2 linked regions of the Arabidopsis thaliana genome follow. The protein of the gene in region 2 interacts with the protein of the main gene of each other region in a pairwise test. Each region holds a gene or a part of one and is shown on either strand. Other genes may lie near its edges.

Evidence for each region.
Region 1: the proteins of AT2G38510 (region 2) and AT4G22830 interact in a protein complementation assay, tested with the Arabidopsis thaliana proteins (one large-scale study listed by BioGRID).

Annotation. Positions count from the first base shown.
Region 1 is NC_003075.7:11,989,183-11,994,142, reverse strand, and holds AT4G22830 (YCF49-like protein), read left to right. Parts: upstream 1-2,714; 5' UTR 2,715-2,735; coding exon 2,736-2,841; coding exon of another isoform or gene 2,842-2,899; coding exon 2,900-3,137; intron 3,138-3,408; coding exon 3,409-3,487; intron 3,488-3,561; coding exon 3,562-3,630; intron 3,631-3,733; coding exon 3,734-3,847; 3' UTR 3,848-4,079; downstream 4,080-4,960. Other genes in the region: AT4G22840 (Sodium Bile acid symporter family), read left to right, coding at 467-629, 738-823, 1,087-1,211, 1,309-1,502, 1,580-1,832, 1,930-2,183, 2,277-2,359, 2,436-2,507.
Region 2 is NC_003071.7:16,121,649-16,126,750, forward strand, and holds AT2G38510 (MATE efflux family protein), read left to right. Parts: upstream 1-2,336; coding exon 2,337-3,797; 3' UTR 3,798-3,887; downstream 3,888-5,102.

The DNA of each region.
Region 1 (4,960 bases), on a different chromosome or scaffold from region 2:
TCCGGTTAAACGGGAAAATCCAGTGATCGGGAATTCGAAAAAGAAGAATGCAATCGAAAGAATCACAAAACAAATTGGTGTGTAGGAAAGAAAGAGAGACAATTTGTGGAAGTTTTCTCCTTGATTTGTGTCTTTGCTTTGTAGTCTTGTACCGATTTTTTTATTACCCTAACTTAAGTATATTAATTGCGTCTTTCTCACTACACAACACATTATATTCCAAATATCAGTTTTAAAATAAGAAAATCATAATTTGAAATATACATTATCTTAAAGCCCAGTGGGCCATTTCCAGAAACTTAAACTCTAACTGGGTCGGGTCGGGTTTTGTTAGGTTGATGATGCGACAGATTCTCGGGTCCCAGATTCTCTGAATCTCTCCCTCTTTCTTCCATTTCCCAGAACTCTCAGAGTTTCGCCACTTCTTCTGAAGAATCTGAAAGATCACAAAGTCCAAAGAAAAAAAATGAGCGTGATCACAACTCCAATAGAGACCCTGCACCTAAAGTCAACACTTCGTCTTCTACCACGAGCTGTTTATCGCAGTCAACGGATTCAAGTTTTCCCGCCCAACATCTTCTCGAACACTTCTCTGAGTTCTCCACTTCGCATCGACCCAATCTCTCAAGGTTTGTTCATCTTACTCTCATCGATCCTCAGGCGTTTATGCTTGTTGGGTACCTGCAAAATTTACACTTTCTTCTCTCATGGTTTTCTTCAACCTACTATATACACAGTTGGCGGATCGAGGAATTTGTGGCGTAGATATGCATCTGATAATTTCTCGGAGATGGGTTTGGATCCTGGAGCTGATCCATTCAAGGTGTGCGCTATGGGATCTTTCCTTTTCCATTCTATGTTATGTTGGGTTTGAATAGTCTTCTCAAAATGTGTCATCTTTAATGTCAAAATGTGATTTTGCACTATTGAAGACTTGTTAATTATCCTACTTTTGAATCTGATTAGCTAAAAATCATCCCTGGATCACAGTTTTGCTACTTTGTTCTTCGTTTGCTGATGATTTCAGTTGTTAAGAATTTTATGTTACTTCCGAGAACCAACATGAATCTAGTAAGTGGCTTGCAGGTTATTGAGAAGCCTTCTATAGTGGATAGAATGAAGAAAGCAAACTCAATTCTTCCTCATGTAGTGTTGGCGAGTACAATATTAGCTCTTATCTATCCTCCTTCTTTCACTTGGTTTACGTCGAGGTTCTTCCCATTGGAACAAGGTCAAATTGATCTAAGACTTTGAATTGTAGACATGAGGTTTGCTAAAAAGCTCTTCTTTACTCTCCTGTTATTTTAGGTACTTTGTGCCCGCTTTAGGTTTTTTGATGTTTGCGGTTGGTATCAATTCAAACGAGAAAGACTTTCTTGAAGCTTTCAAAAGACCAAAAGCTATCCTCCTCGGTTATGTTGGACAATATCTCGTAAAGCCTGTCCTAGGTTTCATCTTTGGCCTAGCTGCTGTTTCTCTTTTCCAACTCCCAACTCCAATTGGTAAAAGCTCCCTGTCTCTCATCATTCAAGACTCTTAACCTATCTCTCACATTAACCAATCTTTCTCAATCTCTCAGGTGCTGGAATCATGTTGGTATCATGTGTTAGTGGAGCTCAGTTGTCAAACTATGCGACATTCCTAACTGATCCAGCATTGGCACCTCTTAGCATCGTCATGACATCTCTATCAACCGCTACTGCGGTTCTTGTCACACCGATGCTATCACTCCTGCTCATTGGGAAGAAACTACCCGTTGATGTAAAAGGAATGATATCCAGCATTCTTCAGGTTGTAATCGCACCAATCGCTGCAGGATTGCTACTAAACAAGTGAGAGATATAGCTACAAGCCTACAACTAGAAATAACCACAAGTTGTTTCTCTAAGTATAACCATTTTTATCTCCTTTTTGTTTCTTCTTTTACAGGTTGTTCCCAAAAGTATCAAATGCAATCCGACCATTTCTCCCGATTCTATCGGTTCTCGACACAGCTTGCTGCGTTGGAGCACCACTCGCATTGAACATAAACTCGGTCATGTCTCCATTTGGAGCCACCATATTGTTACTAGTAACAATGTTTCATCTCTCAGCTTTCCTCGCTGGATACTTCCTTACCGGTTCTGTCTTTAGAAACGCTCCAGACGCTAAAGCCATGCAAAGAACATTGTCCTATGAAACTGGTACTAACTCTTTATGGTATTGGAAAATCTTATCAAGAAAGTACAATTTGGTTTAAAGATTTGAGAAGAGAAATGTGTTTGTGAATATATCAGGAATGCAGAGTAGCCTTTTGGCTCTAGCGCTTGCTACTAAGTTCTTTCAAGATCCTCTTGTGGGGATTCCTCCTGCTATATCTGTAAGTCTCATATCCTTTTGACATAGCATAATCTTTTATTGATGATGATTATAGAGATTTTTGTTTTGTTTTGCAGACGGTGGTAATGTCATTGATGGGGTTCACTCTCGTTTTGATCTGGTCTAAGGAAAAGAGTAACACATTTTAACATTTTGATTTTGTTTCACTCCACATTTTGATTATACATATATATATGTACTACAAATAATTGGAAAATTCTTCTTGTAATATAAATAATTCAATACAGAATTTGAGATTTTTAATGTACTAATCTCCATTTTGTCTTTATATTTTTCTCTTCAACTTCAAAGATGGGAAGTAATTAGAAAAACCAGAATTTGTTAATAAACCGATTAGTTTAATTTTGTTTGTGAAAATGATAAAAGACGGTTCAACAGCAAACCGGTTTAAAATTAAACCAGAACTTGGGAATTGGAAATTGGAGAAAAATCTCAGCCATGGCGATTGCTTCAACAGCCACCGTTCTTTTCTGCTGCGCCAAACCCAATTTCCGGCGAATTCATTCTGAGAGCCGTCCAGCTTCTTCTCTCACCACCTCTAACGAACCTGTAATTCGGATCCGAAGCCGCAGTTTAATTCATGACCCGGTTGCGCTGTCGGGTCTTATCGGAACCAGTTTGGTTGCGGCTGCTTTCATCACGGCGGGACCAGATGCTACTGCTTTGGCGGCGGTGGTGGATTCTCTTCAGCTAAGCGAACCGTCCAATGCGTTGTCTTTACCCACTTGGGCCGTTCATGTTTCCAGCGTTGTCGAATGGTTCTCTTCTTCTTCCTTTGCTTTATTGATTGAAATTCTCACTTAGAAAACATTTGACATTTGATCTATAGTGACACAAGAGAGTATTTGATGTTGTGGGTTTTTCGAGTTTTTGATATCATTATGAGAGAAGCTTCATCTACATATAAAGTCTCGATCTTTCACTCACAATGTAGATTAAGCTTCTCTCATTATGGTTTGAAATGCAGTTGGAGCTAACAAACAAGAAAAATGTAATGTCTTTCTAATTCTGGTGTTGTTTTTACTAAAGGATTACGGCGATGGCATTGGTATGGAAGTATGGAGAAAGAAAGGGTTATGAGTCTTGGAAAGGTCTCTCATGGGGAATGGTGAGAAAGCTCTAAGCCGTTTTCCTAGATTACATGATTTCATTTTTCTGAGCTTTTTGGTTGTTCTTAATCAGGTACCTTTGCTTGGTGGAGCTCTCTGTGCATGCACATGGCATTTCTTCTACAACGATGAATCTCTTGAGGTCAAGAAACTCTTGACTCCAACTTTTAGCTATAAGTCTGTGATATGTTTCGTTTGCTTCTTCACTCCTACTTAATGGTGTAATTGTTGGACTGCATTATCAGGTGTTGGTCGCTCTTCAGGCAGCACTAACGGTGTTTGGTAATATCACTCTCTGCATTGCTGCCTTTCGGATCAACAAGTTGTCATCCAAAATTGAAGTCTCTGAAAAGCCATGATGGCTAAACCGATCAATATGAGCAAAGTATAATTGAATTATTAATTGGAGGATCACTAAGATTCTTTTCCCCTTTGAAAAGTTCTATGAGATTCTATGTCAACGATTTAAGTATATTATATAGTCTTTATATGAGGAAGATCCATGTGCATTCAACCTATATCAGTAACCCAAGTTACACAGATTTAGTCTTATCCAGAATCTAGAGTTTGAATTAAATTATAAATTTTGGTTACGTGATCATAAGAACTTCTCCATTTTTGTATAAATGAGATCAAGAAAACAGAAGAAAGAAAGTGCCAAAACTGATAACGTTTTTCCCAGTGTGGCAAGTTTGGCTAAAATTATAAATAAAAGTAGACATCAAAATGCAGATATTGAGATTATCTTAACTCAAAATGCAGATATTGAACGTTTAACATTATCTGAACTAATTATCTTGTTTTGTTATATCATCTTAAATCGAGACCATATATAGTAAAACATGCCAACAAACTCAATCTAGTTAGTTGAAGAAAATCATTGTGTATAACTTACATCTGTCACACACAAAATTGAATCTTTACGTGGGACAGTACGACAATTTTTTTTTTTTTTAAATCCGAATCTCTTGAAGTTAAAAACTATAAGCAAAAATGTGGGGTGGTTGAGCTATTTCTGGTTAGGATCTTAATAAGAAGAAAAAAAATGAACGTAAGTACATAAGTTTAAAATAATAAAATTTTCGAATTATTAAAATAAGATACCAAGTTCCACTTAAATCTTGACAACGCGTTAATCGTGTTTAGACCAAGCCAGGGCGTGATGAAGAAGGCATATCTTATCTTTATCTTCCCCAAAAGTCCACCAATAATACCATCTTAATCATTACTTAAACAACCCCAAAGGCCATTTATACATTTAAATTTGTTAATTTTACCTATTAGTTTGTACTCCTATTATGGGAAAAAAAAACCTACATCATTTTTTTTTGGATCAAACTGGATAAAAAATGTCAATTAATAAAAAAATGGAAAGTCAGAATTCAAAAATAAAGGAAATATACACGTCAGCTACGAAAGTACAGTTCTGACTTCATAACTTTGGAAATTTTACAAAACAGTGCCATTATTAT
Region 2 (5,102 bases):
TCTGTAAAAAAGTTATATACATGAAACAAATATTCAACCGTTAATCTCAAAGAGAAGAATATAATGAAAGGCAAGAGTTGGCAATTATATTATTACTTTTACTATAAGTGTAAACTCATAGTATTATATTTGTTTTTTTACTATAAGTGTCAACAAGGCTTTCTATAAGTAGAATGTATAAAGGCAACACTTTAGTAAATTGGTTCAGTCTAAGAGACTGACTATGTGGAATTTTTTATTAATACAAAAACTCAACTGGCTACATATATAAACGAAGAAACAGATGTTCCCAATAAAAAAAACTTTAAAAAAAAAAAAAAAAAAATAGTTCAAAAAAATAAGGAAAAGACGAGTAAATATGAAATTAATTAGAGTGGACGACTAAGGAAGCGTACATAAATACGAGGGGAACTTAAGACATTCTTCTTCTCTCTCACTGTCTCTCTCACACACACAAACTCGTAGCTAGCTTCTATGGCAACCCTTTTTTCGTAGTCACCAACATATAAATCTCTTTGATATAAGTGAAGAAGTGTGATATATAGTATATAGTATATACAAATATATATGAGCATGTGCAGGTCTAACATGGAAAGCAGTGAATCTGGAGAGATTATAAATGGAGAATGCGATGTTTCAACATCCGTCAAAGGAGAAAATAGCGGCAGCGCCAAATTCTCTGCTGGTCTCCGTCGCATCCCTTTCAATGAGGCTTGTTTCTTTTTCTTTAATTTCTCTTTTCTTGTTCTTACATTTTCTTCAACAAAAAAATTCCAATTAGCTTTGACAAGTCATCACTCTGCTTATTCTTTGATTTCATAGTTTTCTTGTGTTTTTGTTTGTACTACTAGTTTTCGTGATCAGGACCATCCTAATATAGAGACGTTTGCTACGTTTAACCAGAGAATTTGGTGATTTTTGATGGATTATTATATTGTTTTCAGTCACTTTCGCAGTATTTTTTGGGTCTGGTAAATAATATGTAGTTCTTGGAAATTGATCTTATACTGGATTGAATGCTTCTTTTGACTGTTTTTATAGCATTTTAACCGAATATAATGCATCCCTTTTAAAAACATAGCATGAATAATGCTTCATCTATCTTTCACGTACTTGAGAAATACAATGTTGAAAATTCATTTATATATAAGTTTTCTCTGTATATATATATATATATATATATGTGTATATATGTTCATATTTATGCCTAAAGCGTTACTACTTACTACTAGTATGATAAATCCTCACTTTCATGGACTGAAAGAGATGCTTTTTGTGTTGTACTTACTTTATATTTCTTGACAGTTGGGTTGTACTTACTTAGGAAAGTGTTCTATATAGGTTTCCTCTCACTCTATTCTTTTTATCAGTTTCTTTACTTAGTACAAATATAATCTAGTTACTTTCCGATTTATTTTCTTGAAATCCTTATCCGATTGTTTATGAAATGTCAATAGTAGTTCATGATACTTTTACAAGTATCTATGCGTAAAATATTTTTTATATGTTTTTAAAATGTGGATATTCTTAATGAAGATATCATGAAATGAAAGGTAATATCTAAGCTGATTTTGTTTTTTCAAAAAGAAAACAAAAAAGGTGAGCTTTTAAAAACCCATGATGATTTTTATTTAAAAAGATCCTAGAATGTTGGTACAGTTAGCCATTCGCTTTTCTGGCACTTGTGAATTTGATTATATATTCAGTTCTAAAAGTTATAGAGTTTAAACCTTTTTCTCTTCCTTTTTCAACTTTCTCATCCCAGTCCCAGTGGCCATGTGATGCGACCATCTTCCTCGTGCTTACAAATTGTTCTTAATTTTATAATATGATAAAATATCATTTTCCGTATTGTAATGTAATGTCCTTCTGTTTCACAATAAAATTAATTTAAGATTTTATTTGACAAAAAGAAACAATTAAGGTACAATGATTTTTTTAATAACTCATGTATAAAAAGCTCATATAAATACCATTTTCATACAACTTATTAGAAAAGAAATTTGTTTGTTTATTGTGATAAAAATATTAATAAATGATATACCAGAAAATTTAATATTTTTAGTGAGTGCAATATCGTTAATTAAACGAAATTAAATCACGTACAAAATATTAAACATGATTAAAAAAGGATATTAAAGACTAAATCATATTTTGAGGATAATTTTTTTTTTTTTAATATACAACATACTCGTGTTGCGCTCTTTCTATACACTAATATCTTCTCGAGTGCGTTTTGCTAGAACTAGAAGCCTATAGAACATGTGAAAAAATAAAGAGTTGTTCAATTGAAAAACCTAACAAAAATAACATAATTTTTTAATTTTATTTTTCCCATGCAGGTGGGAGAGGAGATGGCGTCACTCACAAAAATAGCTTGCCCGATTGTGATGACATCACTCCTCATATTCTCAAGATCAATAATCTCAATGTGGTTCTTGAGTCATCTCGGAAAAGTCGAACTCGCTGGTGGTGCACTCGCTATGGGCTTTGGAAACATCACTGGAGTCTCCGTACTTAAAGGCCTTTCCGTTGGTATGGACCCAATCTGTGGCCAAGCCTTCGGAGCCAAACGTTGGACCGTACTTAGCCACACGTTTCAGAAAATGTTCTGTCTCTTAATTGTCGTCTCTGTTCCAATCGCCGTTACGTGGCTCAACATCGAACCCATTTTCCTACGGTTGGGTCAGGACCCAGATATTACCAAGGTAGCCAAAACCTATATGCTCTTCTTCGTCCCTGAGCTCTTGGCTCAGGCCATGCTCCATCCGCTTCGAACGTTCCTTAGAACGCAAGGCTTAACATCACCGCTCACGATATCTGCCATTGTATCCATTCTTCTTCATCCTCTCTTCAACTACGTCTTTGTCGTGCGTATGCGTTTAGGCGTTAAGGGTGTGGCCATCGCAATGGCTTTCAACACTATGAATATCGACGTGGGACTGCTCGTTTATACGTGCTTCTCGGATTCTCTAATCAAACCGTGGGAAGGGCTCGCTTTGCGGTCACTTTTCCGCGGCTGGTGGCCGCTGCTTTCTCTAGCCGCACCAAGCGCTATCTCGGTGTGTTTGGAGTATTGGTGGTATGAGATCATGCTTTTTCTTTGTGGGCTTCTTGGGAACCCTAAAGCAAGCGTGGCCGCCATGGGAATATTGATTCAGACCACCGGGATACTATACGTAGTCCCGTTTGCTATTAGCAGCGCCATTGCAACCCGTGTAGGTCACGCTCTTGGAGGCGGCCAACCAACACGGGCACAATGTACGACCGTGATTGGCTTGATACTCGCGGTAGCGTACGGTTTAGCAGCTGCTGTTTTTGTGACCGCGCTTAGGTCGGTTTGGGGAAAGATGTTCACGGACGAACCGGAGATTCTCGGGCTTATTTCGGCTGCGCTTCCGATCTTGGGGCTTTGCGAGATTGGAAACTCGCCACAGACGGCTGCTTGCGGAGTCTTGACTGGGACGGCTAGGCCTAAAGATGGAGCACGCGTTAACCTATGCGCATTCTACATTGTGGGCTTGCCTGTGGCAGTTACGACCACGTTTGGGTTTAAGGTTGGGTTTCGTGGGCTATGGTTTGGACTGTTATCTGCGCAGATGACGTGTTTGGTAATGATGCTTTATACGTTAATCCGTACGGACTGGTCTCATCAAGTGAAGCGGGCAGAGGAACTTACCTCCGCTGCAGCCGACAAAAGCCATTCGGAAGACGAAACCGTCCATGCTGAAGTACAAGACGATGATGATGTGAGTAGCAATGATCTGGAGATTGGTTTACTACAAAATACGAATTGACTAGTTTAGCTAGAAATGTTAAAATTATCAATCGACAATTTTTAACGGATTGTTAATGATATAGGAAACTTTTTTTTTTTGGCAAACTAAAAATACCGAAGATAGATTTGTGTCCGAACTGTTAACTAAGATTTTGTGAAAAGACTCAGCCATTTAATTGGTTGAGCTTAGCTTTTTCTAACACGCAGAAGTATGTAGTGAGAACAGTTGTGACGAATCTATCAAGGATCAATCAAGATCAATCACAATTCTACTTATGTAAACTATATATTCTGTAATTAGAAGTCTCTAGAACATCTAGTCTGTATATAAACAATGTAAATCATCTCAATACAAATCATCCAATTCTATATTCTTTATATGGTATCAGAGCATCATCGATACCTAAAAATAAAAAACCTAAAAACAGCCGCCTCTCTCCTTTCTTTCTTCTTCTCCCCCGTTGATTTTTTTATTCCTCTGTTTTTCAAACTTCAACCATGTCGAATGTTTCTTCTGAAACCGTCAACCTCAACAACACCTCCATTGTTCACATGAACATGTCGAATGTGACAAAACTTACGGCCTCCAATTACATAATGTGGAGCCGCCAAGTCCACGCTCTCCTTCACGGCTACGGTCTCACTCAATACCTTGATGCGACAAAAGCTGCTCCAGCTCGTGAGATTACCGTCAACGACGTTGCCTCTGTGAATCCTGAGTATGAAGCCTGGAGTAGACAAGATCAATTGATCTTCAGTGCTCTCATCGGCACTCTCTCTCTCACCGTCCAACCAACGGTGTCCCGCGCCGCTACCTCTGCTGATGTTTGGGCCACTCTTGCTGGTACCTATGCCAAACCGAGTCGTGGCCATATCAAACAGCTCCAACACCAAATCAAACAATGGAAGAAAGACACCCGCACCATCGACGAGTACGTTCAAGGCTTTATCAATCGATTTGATCAGTTGGCATTAATTGGCAAAATCATTGACCATGAAGATCAAGTTGATTACATTCTCGGGGGTCTGCCAGAAGACTACAAACCCATTGTTGATCAGATGGAAGGACGTGACACACCACCAAATGGATGTTTAACAAACAGTTGTGACGAAGATGGATGTTTTATCCAAATGGCTTTGAATAGTGTATAGAACAAGCAACAAGCCCGATTCGGCCCAAACCCAACCCCATTTAATCATATGTGGTTTTAGTAGTTTAAATAAGCTACTTTGAGTCTTTGACAACTGTTCTTCATATCCATCATAAATTGTGTAGCATTTTACATTTTACATTTTACGTTTGAAACTTAATCATAAGTTTTGT